Arabidopsis thaliana: one gene and its partner. The protein of the gene in region 1 interacts with the protein of each later gene in a pairwise test. Each region holds a gene or a part of one and is shown on either strand. Other genes may lie near its edges.

The links. The genes of interacting proteins can lie anywhere in the genome.
Region 2: the proteins of ZAT (region 1) and ABCA12 interact in a protein complementation assay, tested with the Arabidopsis thaliana proteins (one large-scale study listed by BioGRID).

What each region holds. Positions count from the first base shown.
Region 1 is NC_003071.7:19,233,671-19,240,082, forward strand, and holds ZAT (zinc transporter), read left to right. Parts: upstream 1-1,703; 5' UTR 1,704-1,989; intron 1,990-3,500; exon of another isoform or gene 3,501-3,622; 5' UTR 3,623-4,362; intron 4,363-4,457; coding exon 4,458-5,654; 3' UTR 5,655-5,907; downstream 5,908-6,412. Other genes in the region: PRR9 (pseudo-response regulator 9), read left to right, coding at 1-87, 248-519, 604-1,039, 1,133-1,231; AT2G46810 (basic helix-loop-helix (bHLH) DNA-binding superfamily protein), read left to right, coding at 6,024-6,095. UniProt on the Arabidopsis thaliana protein: Mediates zinc accumulation in roots and confers resistance to zinc. Involved in sequestration of excess zinc in the cytoplasm into vacuoles to maintain zinc homeostasis. Can also transport cadmium with a low efficiency.
Region 2 is NC_003076.8:24,791,872-24,798,489, forward strand, and holds ABCA12 (ABC2 homolog 16), read left to right. Parts: upstream 1-1,992; coding exon 1,993-2,064; intron 2,065-2,150; coding exon 2,151-2,561; intron 2,562-2,660; coding exon 2,661-2,793; intron 2,794-2,967; coding exon 2,968-3,087; intron 3,088-3,176; coding exon 3,177-3,304; intron 3,305-3,385; coding exon 3,386-3,544; intron 3,545-3,627; coding exon 3,628-3,916; intron 3,917-4,012; coding exon 4,013-4,096; intron 4,097-4,179; coding exon 4,180-4,517; intron 4,518-4,602; coding exon 4,603-4,803; intron 4,804-4,880; coding exon 4,881-4,990; intron 4,991-5,078; coding exon 5,079-5,163; coding exon of another isoform or gene 5,164-5,223; exon of another isoform or gene 5,224-5,273; coding exon 5,274-5,402; intron 5,403-5,487; coding exon 5,488-5,593; coding exon of another isoform or gene 5,594-5,634; exon of another isoform or gene 5,635-5,684; coding exon 5,685-6,073; downstream 6,074-6,618. Other genes in the region: ABCA11 (ABC2 homolog 15), read right to left, coding at 1-26, 106-306, 400-495, 583-1,176, 1,248-1,616.

The DNA.
Region 1 (6,412 bases):
TTACCAGCTTCACAGCACAACCTTGAAGATACTGATGAAACTTGTGAAGATTCCAGATATCATTCAGATCAAGGAAGTGGTGCTCAGGTATAATAAATATTACCATCTGAGTTTTACATAATATATGTTCTGGTCCTTCTGAATTGTGTTTTGTATGAGTTGTGAGATTTTCATCTTGAGATTGCATTGTATATCTCATGTTTATCTCATTTTAGTAGAAGCTAATATCGTGTACATGCTTATGCAGGCTATCAATTACAATGGTCACAATAAGCTGATGGAGAATGGCAAATCAGTGGATGAAAGAGACGAGTTTAAGGAAACTTTTGATGTGACAATGGATTTGATTGGTGGAATTGACAAGCGTCCTGATAGTATTTATAAAGACAAGAGTCGAGATGAGTGTGTTGGTCCTGAGCTTGGACTTTCTCTGAAAAGATCTTGCTCTGTAAGTTTTGAGAACCAAGATGAAAGCAAGCATCAAAAGCTTAGCCTCTCTGATGCGTCGGCCTTCTCAAGGTATGCATGTTTCCTTGCTTGAATAAAGAATGCCTCAAATCTTGTAATTAGTGTTTTTAATCAATAACTCTACTTAACTTGCAGATTTGAGGAAAGCAAGTCAGCAGAAAAAGCCGTCGTTGCTTTAGAGGAGAGTACTTCAGGTGAGCCAAAGACACCAACCGAATCACATGAAAAGTTAAGAAAAGTAACATCTGATCAAGGAAGCGCCACAACGAGCAGCAACCAGGAGAATATCGGATCATCAAGCGTAAGCTTCCGTAACCAAGTTCTTCAGTCCACAGTAACGAATCAGAAGCAAGATTCACCCATACCGGTAGAATCAAATCGCGAGAAAGCAGCTAGCAAGGAAGTAGAAGCTGGTTCTCAAAGCACCAATGAGGGGATTGCTGGACAAAGCAGTAGCACAGAGAAACCAAAGGAAGAAGAAAGTGCGAAACAACGTTGGAGTAGAAGCCAGAGAGAAGCTGCATTGATGAAGTTCCGGTTGAAGAGGAAAGATCGATGCTTTGACAAAAAGGTAAGAGACACACAAGCTTCATCATAAAAACAGCATCTGAAACAAATACAAGATCAAACTGATTCAATGGAGATGTATAAAAATGGATTACAGGTTCGGTACCAGAGCAGGAAGAAGCTAGCAGAACAACGTCCTCGAGTGAAAGGCCAGTTCGTGCGAACCGTGAATTCAGACGCGTCTACAAAATCATGAAGAGCTCTTTCAGTTTTTCCTCTGATTTCTTTTGTTGATTTTATAACAGAAACTTATTTAGCTTTTGCAATCTTTAGTGTGCTTTTTTTTTTTATGTATTTGATTGGCTTCTTCTTCTCAGCTAATATGAGATACTGGGGCAACTTTTGTATATATGTCTGCAAATGATCAGGCTAAGCTAAAACAGTAATTCCAATTTCGTTAAGTTGAGAAATATTTCTTGTTGTGATCATATCCAGGCCGCTTCTCTCTCGATACATACCAACAAGAAACAGATTCTATAAAACTTGATTTATATACCATTGCTATAGTCTATGTATTAAAACTCATCACATTAATTCTCTCACAGTCAGAGAAACAAAAAAAGGAAACAAAAGCTATCGAAAGAAAAATCAACAAAGAAATCTTTTTTTGTGACCGTTAAACTAAGATTTTGTGACCGTTAATTGTGATTATCAGTTTCCTTTTCTTTGCTTATAAATAAATAATTAGTGAGAGTCTCAACGCTTCTTCTAAAACATTCGACAAATCAAAACTCTCTATCTCTCGCTTCTTCTTATTCTTCAACCCTAGTTCTCTTCTCAAGACAATTTTGTCTTCAAAGAGGAGACTACAAAGAGGAGGATATAGCCAAGAGAGGGGAGAGCTTTATGGTGGTGGATGATGTCACGAGAGGGCTACCAAAGACCGACGGGCTCAAATCTGACTTTGGAATGGGCTTTGCTCTATGGGCCCTTTTTGCTACTAAATCCAACAAGGTATTACTTTTTTCATTCTTTTTTTTTTTGTTTTATTTACCTTCAAAATTATTTTTAAGTAAAACTAATTAGTTTCACCATAACATTTATATAACTAAAATGTTTATATATTTTCATTAGTTTAAGTGTAAAATGTTTTTACACCTATATTTTATTATAACTTTAGATTTTTTTTATATAGATAAGTGTTAAATTTTTAAATTTTGTGTAAACTAATTGGATACATCATCCAAACCCCTAGGAGGTGTGCCAGGTTCAATATATGGTTTACACATTATTTAACTTTTTAACACTTGTTTTGCTTTTATTAAAAATGTTTTTAAACTTACATATTTTCATATTACTATTAAATCTTTAAGGTATTTTTATTTGGATAAGTGTTAAATTTTTAAATTTTGTGTAATCTAATTGGATACATCATCCAAACCCCTAAGAGGTGTTCTAGGTTTAATATATAGTTTACACATTATTCAACTTTTTAACACTTGTTTTGCTTTCGTTAAAAATATTTTTAAACTTATATATTTTCATATTACTATTAAATCTTTAGGTTTTTTTTTATTTGGATAAGTGTTAAATTTTTAATTTTTGTGTAAACTAATTGGATACATCATCCAAACCCCTAAAAACTGTTCTAGATTCAATATATGGTTTACACATTATTTAACTTTTTAACACTTGTTTTGCTTTTATTAAAAATGCTTTTAAACTTATATTTTTATACTACTATTAGATCTTTAAGGTTTTAAGGTTTCATTTATAGGTTTAATATATGGTTTACATATTATTTAAGTTTTTAACACTTGTTTTTCATTTATTAAAAAATGTTTTTAGACTTATATTTTTACATTACTATTAAACCTTTAATGTTTTTTTGGGATAATTTTTTTTTTTTAATTTTGTGTAATCTAATTGAATACAAGATTCAAACATGTAGGTGGTGTTTTAGGTTTAATATGGTTTACAAATTATTTAGGTATTGAACACTTGTTTAAAAAAATAAAATTAAATCTTAGTTTAAGTGGTAAATTTTAAACACGTTGAAAACTAATTGCGCCTAAGCATCTCGTACTTAGTTGGTCCGTAAGTTTTGGTGTTCGAAGTTTGGAAAGTTTTCACGTAATTTAACACTTAAACTTTAAAAAATCAGTTCATTTAAAACTTTTTGAAAATTAGTTTAAATGGTAAATTTTAATCACGTTGAAACTAACCGCACATAGATATCTCATATTTAGTTGATCCGTAAGCTTTGGTGTTTGTAATACTTATAATTAGTTTTTGAAAAATGTTGATTGTTTTTACTAAATTTAAGAAATTAATTCACTAAAACTTTTTAAGAACTAGTTTAAGTGATAAAGTTTAAATATGTCAAAACTAACCGTACATAAACATCATATCCTTAGTTAATCTATAAAGTTTGGTATTCGAAGTTTTCACATAACTAAATTTTAAATTATGTTTTGGAATTTTTCTTCTTAGTCAATTCAATAAACCCTCAAAAGTGAAAACCCAATCATTTTGCTAAACCGCTTCTGCGAACCAATATATGAAACCGATTAAAAAAGCCACTAGATTGATTGGTTTAAATTAAAAATTTCACCGGTTTGACAAGATACCCAATCATTATACACAGGTAAAAAAAAAGCAAAAAAAAAAAAGACAGCAAAAATTACGGACCATAAAAAACGGCCACGTGTTCATCATGTTCACCGTCAACGAAAGAGATTCCGATTAAGAGAGATGTCGAAGGAGATAAGAGAGAAAGGGGACCCAAAAAAAGGGTTAGGTGGATCTCTCATGAAATCGGTGGAGCTCCCCCATATCTTTTTTAAATAGCTTTCTTCTTTTGGCCCCTTACCCAGAGATAGATTCTTATATACTACTGAGAATCTTCAATTTCTGCAACTTTTGTATCTCTTCCTGGTGAGCCCTTCTCTTCCTCTCGCCACTTTTTTAGGGTTCGGGTTTTCTTTAAAATCTGACCTTTTTGCTTGCCTCTGTTTTTATTATTCGTGTTAGGGTTTGTTGTTTTTTCACTTTCTGACTCTGCCATCTGGAATTTATCTGATTGGGACACTTTGATTCTGTTTATACAAACAGTAGTTTTATTTACTGAGGGGTCAAACTTGAATCTGTATTTTAGGGTTTTGACTCTTTGTGTTATTATATGGTGTGAAAGCGTTGACACTGTTTGTTTGCTTGACGAGTTCCTCCTTTTTGTAGCAGTAGTGGGAATGTGGTGGGATACATGTCTTTGTCCTTTGATTTGATATTTCTGGATAAATTTGCTTTCTTTTTTGTTGAAACAGATCACCAAATAAGAAAACTCTTGTGGTTCTATTGAATTGGGTTTCCACTATCTTTATTGTAGAGGTAACTTTATTTTGTGTTTGTTGGTATTGAGTTCTGTACATCCATCAGGATTTTCGTTGTTGTCTGAGCTTTCTTCTATTTTTTTTCTTATGCAGATGGAGTCTTCAAGTCCCCACCATAGTCACATTGTTGAGGTTAATGTTGGAAAATCTGATGAAGAGAGAATAATTGTGGCGAGTAAAGTCTGTGGAGAAGCACCATGTGGGTTTTCAGATTCTAAGAATGCTTCCGGGGATGCTCACGAACGCTCTGCTTCTATGCGGAAGCTTTGTATCGCCGTCGTGCTGTGTCTAGTGTTCATGAGTGTTGAAGTTGTTGGTGGGATTAAAGCCAATAGTTTAGCTATATTAACCGATGCAGCTCATTTGCTCTCTGACGTTGCTGCCTTTGCTATCTCCCTCTTCTCATTGTGGGCTGCTGGCTGGGAAGCGACTCCTAGGCAGACTTACGGGTTCTTCAGGATTGAGATTTTGGGTGCTCTTGTATCTATCCAGCTCATTTGGTTGCTCACGGGTATTCTGGTTTATGAAGCGATTATCAGAATTGTTACAGAGACCAGTGAGGTTAATGGATTCCTCATGTTTCTGGTTGCTGCCTTTGGTCTAGTGGTGAACATCATAATGGCTGTTCTGCTAGGGCATGATCATGGTCACAGTCATGGACATGGGCATGGCCACGGCCATGACCATCACAATCATAGCCATGGGGTGACTGTTACCACTCATCACCATCATCACGATCATGAACATGGCCATAGTCATGGTCATGGAGAGGACAAGCATCATGCTCATGGGGATGTTACTGAGCAATTGTTGGACAAATCGAAGACTCAAGTCGCAGCAAAAGAGAAAAGAAAGAGAAACATCAATCTCCAAGGAGCTTATCTGCATGTCCTTGGGGATTCCATCCAGAGTGTTGGTGTTATGATTGGAGGAGCTATCATTTGGTACAATCCGGAATGGAAGATAGTGGATCTGATCTGCACACTTGCCTTTTCGGTTATTGTCCTAGGAACAACCATCAACATGATTCGCAACATTCTAGAAGTATTGATGGAGAGTACACCCAGAGAGATTGACGCCACAAAGCTCGAAAAGGGTTTGCTCGAAATGGAAGAAGTGGTGGCTGTTCATGAGCTCCACATATGGGCTATCACAGTGGGAAAAGTGCTATTGGCTTGCCATGTCAATATCAGACCAGAAGCAGATGCAGATATGGTGCTCAACAAGGTAATTGATTACATCCGCAGGGAGTACAACATTAGTCATGTCACGATACAAATCGAGCGCTAAAAGCTAAGTAAGATCTGATGAAGGGTTTTTGTATCAGCATTCTCATTAACAATAAAATCAATAAAGTTTCTACATTTTTCACTTTCTCGTGTTCCTCTGCTTTGGTTTATATTGGTATAGTTATATACTTATATGTCGTCATCGTTTGGTTGAGCACAAGTAAGCACTATTCCTCTTCAAGGAAGAAACTTTTTGTCCTTGTTTCAAAAAGGGTGAAAGGACACAACTGCTTAGAACAGATACGTCATTCTTAGGTCTGCCTTCATTTAAGATTCATTATCTTCCTAGGAGTCACAGGGACTTGTGATTGTGTTAGAAACAGAATCTGACTGATTGTTAGGGGTTTAATTGATATGTCACAAGTGGACCATGTTTGTCCTGAGAGTAAGTAACCAGAGCTTTAAGTTACATCAGCAAGTACAATGTAAAGATGAAATCTTCGTAAGTCATTCTTAAAAAAACTATGTAAAAGTTGACTCTTTTTTTTACTTGGTAGGCGGTTCTGGTTCTCTTATTACACAGTAGTATGAACGAGATCTCTAGATTGCAGACAACTTAATTCGTGTTTTCTGGCAAGTTTTTGTGTTGGATCTTGTTTTGGCTGTGTTAGACTTACCACGTGAGATAAACAGAGGCCACAATTGAGAGAACATGGATAAGGTTTCTTCTTGTGAGCTTATTAAGATCGAATCTGTGTTCTTGTTTGTCAACAAAGAGGTTAAAATTTCGGATTTGATCGATAACAAAATGTACTTCTT
Region 2 (6,618 bases), on another chromosome or scaffold:
CCAAGGAGCCACTGGTAGATAATGTTCTACCAAAATTTAAAATACTTGTTAGAGAATGCTATTAGACAACGTAACTAGTAAAATTTATTTTGAATGTCTGCATACAATAGAAATTACGCAAGTCGCTTGGCCCCCTTCACATACGGCTCTATTACTCCAACTGATTCCAGAGCTTTTGGGAGTTGAGGTTGCATCAAGAAGAAGCTTAAGTCCCGCAGAAAAAGTGTTGGGTGGAAAAAGAGACCACATCACCCGGCGAGAAACTGCATATGAGCTGGAATAAGGGAATCCAGTAGCTGATACAAACTGCAATTAGAATTGTAACCAAGTAAGATATTAAAGATTTTGATCAAGAACCAGTTTATTAATTACTATTTTTAGCTAGACAAGTTATCATACCTGTGTTATAAAACCAATCAAAAACACAAGGAAACCGACAGTTGTTGCCGAAGATGATTTGCTAATGATAGATGATAGCGCAAATGCTAGGCCAATCTAGCAACACAAGTAAATTGATAACTTAAAAACTAGGGATAATACATTAAAAAAAAAAACTAATTAGAAAAAATGAAGGATTTTTACCATATTAAACTGAAAAAGCAAGAAAAGTAGGAAGACAAGAACAAAACTGTTCTTCAAGAAAAAATCAAAGCGGAATATCATTCCAAAGAGGACCAAGAAAAGTGAGGAGACAAGGGTAAGGATTCCTTCCCAGGTTAGCCATGACAACCAATATGCAGAATCATAAACACCCATCATTGTCATTGCCTGCCGAAGTTTTAGCTCTTTCTCGGTGACCAGGGCACCGAGTTGGAGAACAAAACCAAACATGGAGAAAGCAAGAAAGAACACTGGTCCCATGACTGAGAGTGCAGAGGTAGTTTCAGTTATAATAGCTGGTCTTGCAAATTCCTTAAATCCCAAACCCCAACCAAAATTTGGATCTCCAAGTAAAGACCTTGCGATTTCACGCTCTGCAGCGACTTGAAGAGGAACAAGGAACTTAAACGTAGGATCTTCAGTCTGACCACGTTTACTCTCCGATGAAGAATTTGTTTGAACACCATAGCTGATTACTGAAGCATTCCTTTCCACAAAATGCAAAGCTCCTGGAACTTGCAAGGGATGTGACAGAAGCCATGTATCTACCTCATCAGGCTCCTTGAACGACTGAACCTGAACAACATCGAATCCAACACATTAAATAACCGTAGAAACTTAACCAAGGGAAACCAATGAAGTAATACCTTGTTGGTTGGAATTGGTCTCCCTGGATTGTTAGCCATAATTGCAGAGACGATATCAGTAACGCGGCGACTATTGTTCCCACTCCACACAAAGTCATAGCAAGGAAGCTTCACAAAGAACTTGTCCTCACAAGGAAGAATCGGTGGGGATACCAATAGTGTAGGATCAGTGATATTCTTGTACGCACTCGAGGATGCGTCGCTTGCTTTCATGGCTTCCTCTATACAAAAGATGAGAAGGATGAAGAAGAATGAAGAGAAGATTTGAAGACACGTGGCTCTCTTGTTCCGCCATGAAAGCAATAGATTCTTCCCGAACAACGCCGTGAACTGCTGGTAGAGAAGCGGCAAGCCTTCTTGCAAAATCATTATCAAGTTTTTTAAAAAAAAATCTTTCTTTTTCGAAGTAAATTGTTTGTCTTAGAAAAAAAAAAAGCAAAATTTTAATCTATAAAGTTCCCACACACCCCACAAAAAAAGGATTGACCAATATTAATTAGAAAGAAAATAAAAACTATCCAGCTTTTGTCCAATTTTTTCGATTGACTACATTTCATCCCCATCTTGAAAAATGTGTAAAATTGAGACCTCGCATATTTTTCGCATTTAATTGGAGACCACATATATATATTTGGCACTTAAAACAAGCGCAAGTTTAAAGGAAGAAACGATTACTTAAATTGGCAAGGGAAAAAAAAAAGAGACGACAAAGTGCGACTACCTAAGCTTCTTTCTTTCTTCATCAATGGTGAATCCTAGCCCAGCAAGTTTTTGGACGCAAGCCAATGCGTTACTTAGGAAGAACTTAACCTACCAGGTATGTTTTCATATTGCCGTTTCCGGCAAGTTACTTAGAATATTTTTTTTTATAACGATCTAATTGCCTGAACCCTGAAATGGCAGAGGAAACACATATGGACGAATGTTCGACTCATCCTGGTTCCACTCTTCCTCTGTTTAATTCTGCTGGCGATTCAACAAGTGCTTGATGCCTTGATGAAGGGTGTCTCTGATATGTCTAATTGTGGAGGCAACGTTACTTTGCCTGGTGGTATCTGTCCCATCCCAAACCCTCCATCGTTGCCTCCGATGTTGCAGATTCCACAACATGAACTCCGTTCCGTTAAGACCGATTTCTTTTCCTACAAAGATCTCCCTGACAAGTTATGCAGAGAAACAGGTTCTTGTCCCGTAACGATACTTTTCACTGGTGATAAACTGCCCCTTGGAAAAGCTTTATCCGCAAATATCTTCAGCACTTCTTTTGTGGTTAATTCCTCCGACCTCTTGCCTACTTTAGCCAATAACGTTTTGGTATCTCTCTCCATCTATCTCTGAGTGCAGTTGCATTGCATGATTCTCTTATCTCTCAACCACTTCTTTTACTCGAGCGAGAGATGATATGACTTTCAGGGTTCAACAGAAGCAGCGGGGGAAGACAATTATGAAGATCCGGGGATTGCCTCAGATCTTCCTATTTACAGTATCCAACCTTCGTGCAGTGCAAACTCTACATGGCCACTCTCGCTCGGACAAATTCAGACAGGTAATTTTTTTATTGTTTTTTGTGAATCACTAAGTGGTTCTTTAGTGATTCTGGGCATATCCTCTGAGACATGTTTTGACATGGATCTAGACGTAAGAAATGCGTTTTTTTTTTTTTGTTGTTTTTATAAATCATTTTGATGATCGTTTGTGTCTATATTATTAATTATCTCAGCCGTGAAGTGTGTTCAAGGGTTGTGTCTCTGGAGAAATAACTCTGTAGAGGTCAATGATGAGCTTTTCAAGGGTAGTTGGAGGGGAAATCCTGCGGGGATGCCAAATGAGATCGTTGCAGGTTTGTTAAAATCTTCCATTAGTTTATATATCCTTGGTGGTTACGTTATTATGCCATTTATATTATGTCTGCCTTTTTCGTTTCGTTAGCATATGATCTCATGAGCACGGATAGGAAAAATTTCAATGTGACCATATGGTATAACTCAACCTACAATGATGAGTTTGCAACTGGTCAGGCTTTAAAGCTGGTCCGAGTTCCCCGCTCTATTAATCTGGTAACAAATATATATGGTGATCATGTACTCTCAGACATGGTTGCATTTCGCCTTCGATTTCATATTTATCTCGTGCTGCAGATATCAAATGCTTATCTTAAGTTTCTAAAAGGCCCTGGGACAAGGATATTATTTGAGTTTCTCAAAGAAGTTCCTAAAGAAGAAACTAAAATGAATCAAGACATTGCGTCCTTGCTTGGGCCACTTTTCTTCACTTGGGTTGTTCTTCTTTTGTTCCCCGTAAGTTCTCTTACACGCTAGTTAATTTGCATCCCCATTATATTGTACGTTTAATAAATAAGAAATCTTGCATGCAAATGCAGGTAATCTTGACATCATTGGTGTATGAGAAACAAGAACGTCTAAGAATTATAATGAAAATGCACGGGCTAGGCGATGGTCCATATTGGATGATTTCCTATGCCTATTTTCTCACCATATCTATGTTGTATGTTATTTCTTTGGTGGGCTTCGGGTCTGCTATAGGACTCAAGTATTTCCGGCGCAATGACTACAGCATCCAGTTTGTTTTCTATTTCATCTACTCAAATCTACAAATCTCCCTCGCTTTTCTAGTCTCTTCGATATTCTCAAAGGTTAAGACTGTAACAGGTATACCACATTTCCTGAATATTCCACTGCTCAAGAACATGTCAGAGTTGAAATTTGAATGGATTTCTCTGTTTTATGGCTTAATTAATATTGTAGTCATTGCTTACATACTGGTGTACGGAACCGGGCTCTTGGGTAGCTTTCTTTTCCAAAAAATGATTGAAACTCAGTCATTCCCCGGTAATTTAGTCAACAACTTGACAAACAAACAAAAATCAAAGATGCTCATGTTTATTTACTATACAATGTATGTACGTTTGCAGAAGAATGGATTCTTGCCATGGAGTTGTATCCCGGCTTTTCTCTATACCGCGGGTTGTATGAGTTCTCGCAATATGCATCCCGAGGAAACGGGATGAAGTGGCAAGATCTCAGTGATAGCGGAATGGGTGAAGTTTTCTGTATCATGTCAGTAGAGTGGTTTCTTGCTCTCATAGTAGCCTACTATATCGATCAGGTTTTCACATCCGGAAAGCATCCTTTCTTTTTCTTGGTGAACCTTTTCAAAAGTCCTTCTTCCCTACCAAGGAGGCCTACTGTGCAAAGGTTGGATTCTAAAAGAGTATTCATAGATATGGACAAACATGATGTCACTCAAGAGGTATGGGAGAAGTCAAGTTTTTTCTTTGCCATTCCATTTTTCCATATTTCAAAGCCCTCATGATAACAAAGAAAATAATAATCAGAGGGAATCAGTTCAAAAATTGAGGAATGAAGGTAGCACAGGGCATGCCATCTTGTGTGACAACTTGAAAAAGGTTTATCCAGGTAGAGATGGTAACCCGCCAAAAATGGCCGTAAGAGGGTTGTATCTCAGTGTGTCTTCAGGAGAATGCTTCGGCATGCTTGGACCTAATGGTGCCGGCAAAACTTCCTTCATCAGTATGGTCAGTTTTGCAAACAAATGTTGTTTTCAGAGTGTCAAATTTAGTAATCTACTGCTGTGTTTTCTTTGCTGCACTAGATGACAGGACTCCTCAAACCGTCATCTGGAACAGCTTTGGTTCAGGGTTTGGACATATGCAAGGATATGAACAAAGTATACACGAGCATGGGCGTATGCCCGCAGCACGAGTAAATCCTCTAAATGATTTTTGAATTTTTTTACTACCAAGCAAATAATGAACAACTTTTTGAAAAAATGTTATTCTCTTGGTTTCAGCTTGCTTTGGGAGACGCTAACAGGAAGGGAACATCTTCTCTTTTACGGTCGACTTAAAAATATCAAGGGCTCTGATCTTACACAAGTATATATGTTTACCACCTGGCTAATTTTTATTTTATTTTATATGTGTTGTTATTCTTGAAGACAATAACAAGAATATATATATATATATATATATATGATCATTTCAAGGCTGTTGAAGAATCTCTCAAAAGTGTCAGCCTTTACGATGGAGGAGTTGGCGACAAACCTGCTGGTAATTATAGTGGAGGTATGAAAAGGAGGCTTAGCGTGGCCATATCGCTTATCGGGAACCCCAAGGTACATACATTCTTGTTAGTCGAGTGATTTTGTCTAGCAATAGCTCATGATAATTATTAACAAACTCAAGGTCTCTCTAAAATAGGTGGTTTATTTAGATGAGCCAAGCACAGGACTTGATCCAGCCTCGAGAAAGAATTTATGGAATGTGATCAAGCGTGCAAAACAAAACACAGCAATAATTCTCACAAGTATACATATATTAGTTTCTCCACTTACGGAATGTGATTGAGTATGCCTCCTAAATTATACTTAATATTAACGTTAAGACAAGATTTTCAGCTCATTCCATGGAAGAAGCCGAATTTCTATGCGACAGATTAGGAATTTTTGTCGACGGAGGCTTGCAATGCATAGGAAACTCCAAGGAACTGAAGAGCAGGTACGGTGGATCATATGTCTTCACAATGACAACATCTTCAAAACATGAGGAAGAGGTAGAGAGATTGGTTGAATCTGTCTCTCCCAACGCCAAGAAGATATATCACCTTGCTGGTACTCAGAAATTTGAGCTCCCAAAGCAAGAGGTTCGAATTGCTGAGGTGTTTCGCGCTGTTGAAAAGGCCAAAGCCAACTTCACAGTCTTTGCATGGGGGCTCGCCGACACAACGCTCGAAGATGTCTTTATCAAAGTCGCTAGAACTGCTCAAGCCTTCATTTCTTTGTCTTAAAAGCTATTTTTTACAGTTATAGGGTTCTCTTTCTTGGGTCAAAATTCTATGTCTTGAAACACACGCAAACTTACCACCATCTTGAGTCTCCTTGTGATTGCTGCTATGAGAATCAAAGAAGCTTCTGAGATCCCAGAACCATATGTGTTATTACTTTGGAGAATGGGGAAACAGATGATAAAAGCTTAAAGAAGAAAAAGATAAGGTTTGCGACATTTGCCACTGGGATTGTTCACGGCCTGCAACCGGATGCTATATCTGATGATGGTACAAATTTTGTCACCTAAAGACGTTACTAGGAATTCTGTTCTTGTTGCTGCTTTTATTCATTAATTATTGCTTCATGTAAATCTTGTCGTTGCAAGATCTTTGTTCTTGTATGTTGGACAATGCCAATGTGCTACTATCGCTGAGTGAATTATACAAGGACACAGTACACTGATTATGAAGATTCTTAGAGACAATCTTACTTTGTGGATCATTCGTAAGCATCAACACAATATACATTGATCATTAATTGTTCACTAAGTTGTGTAATTGACATG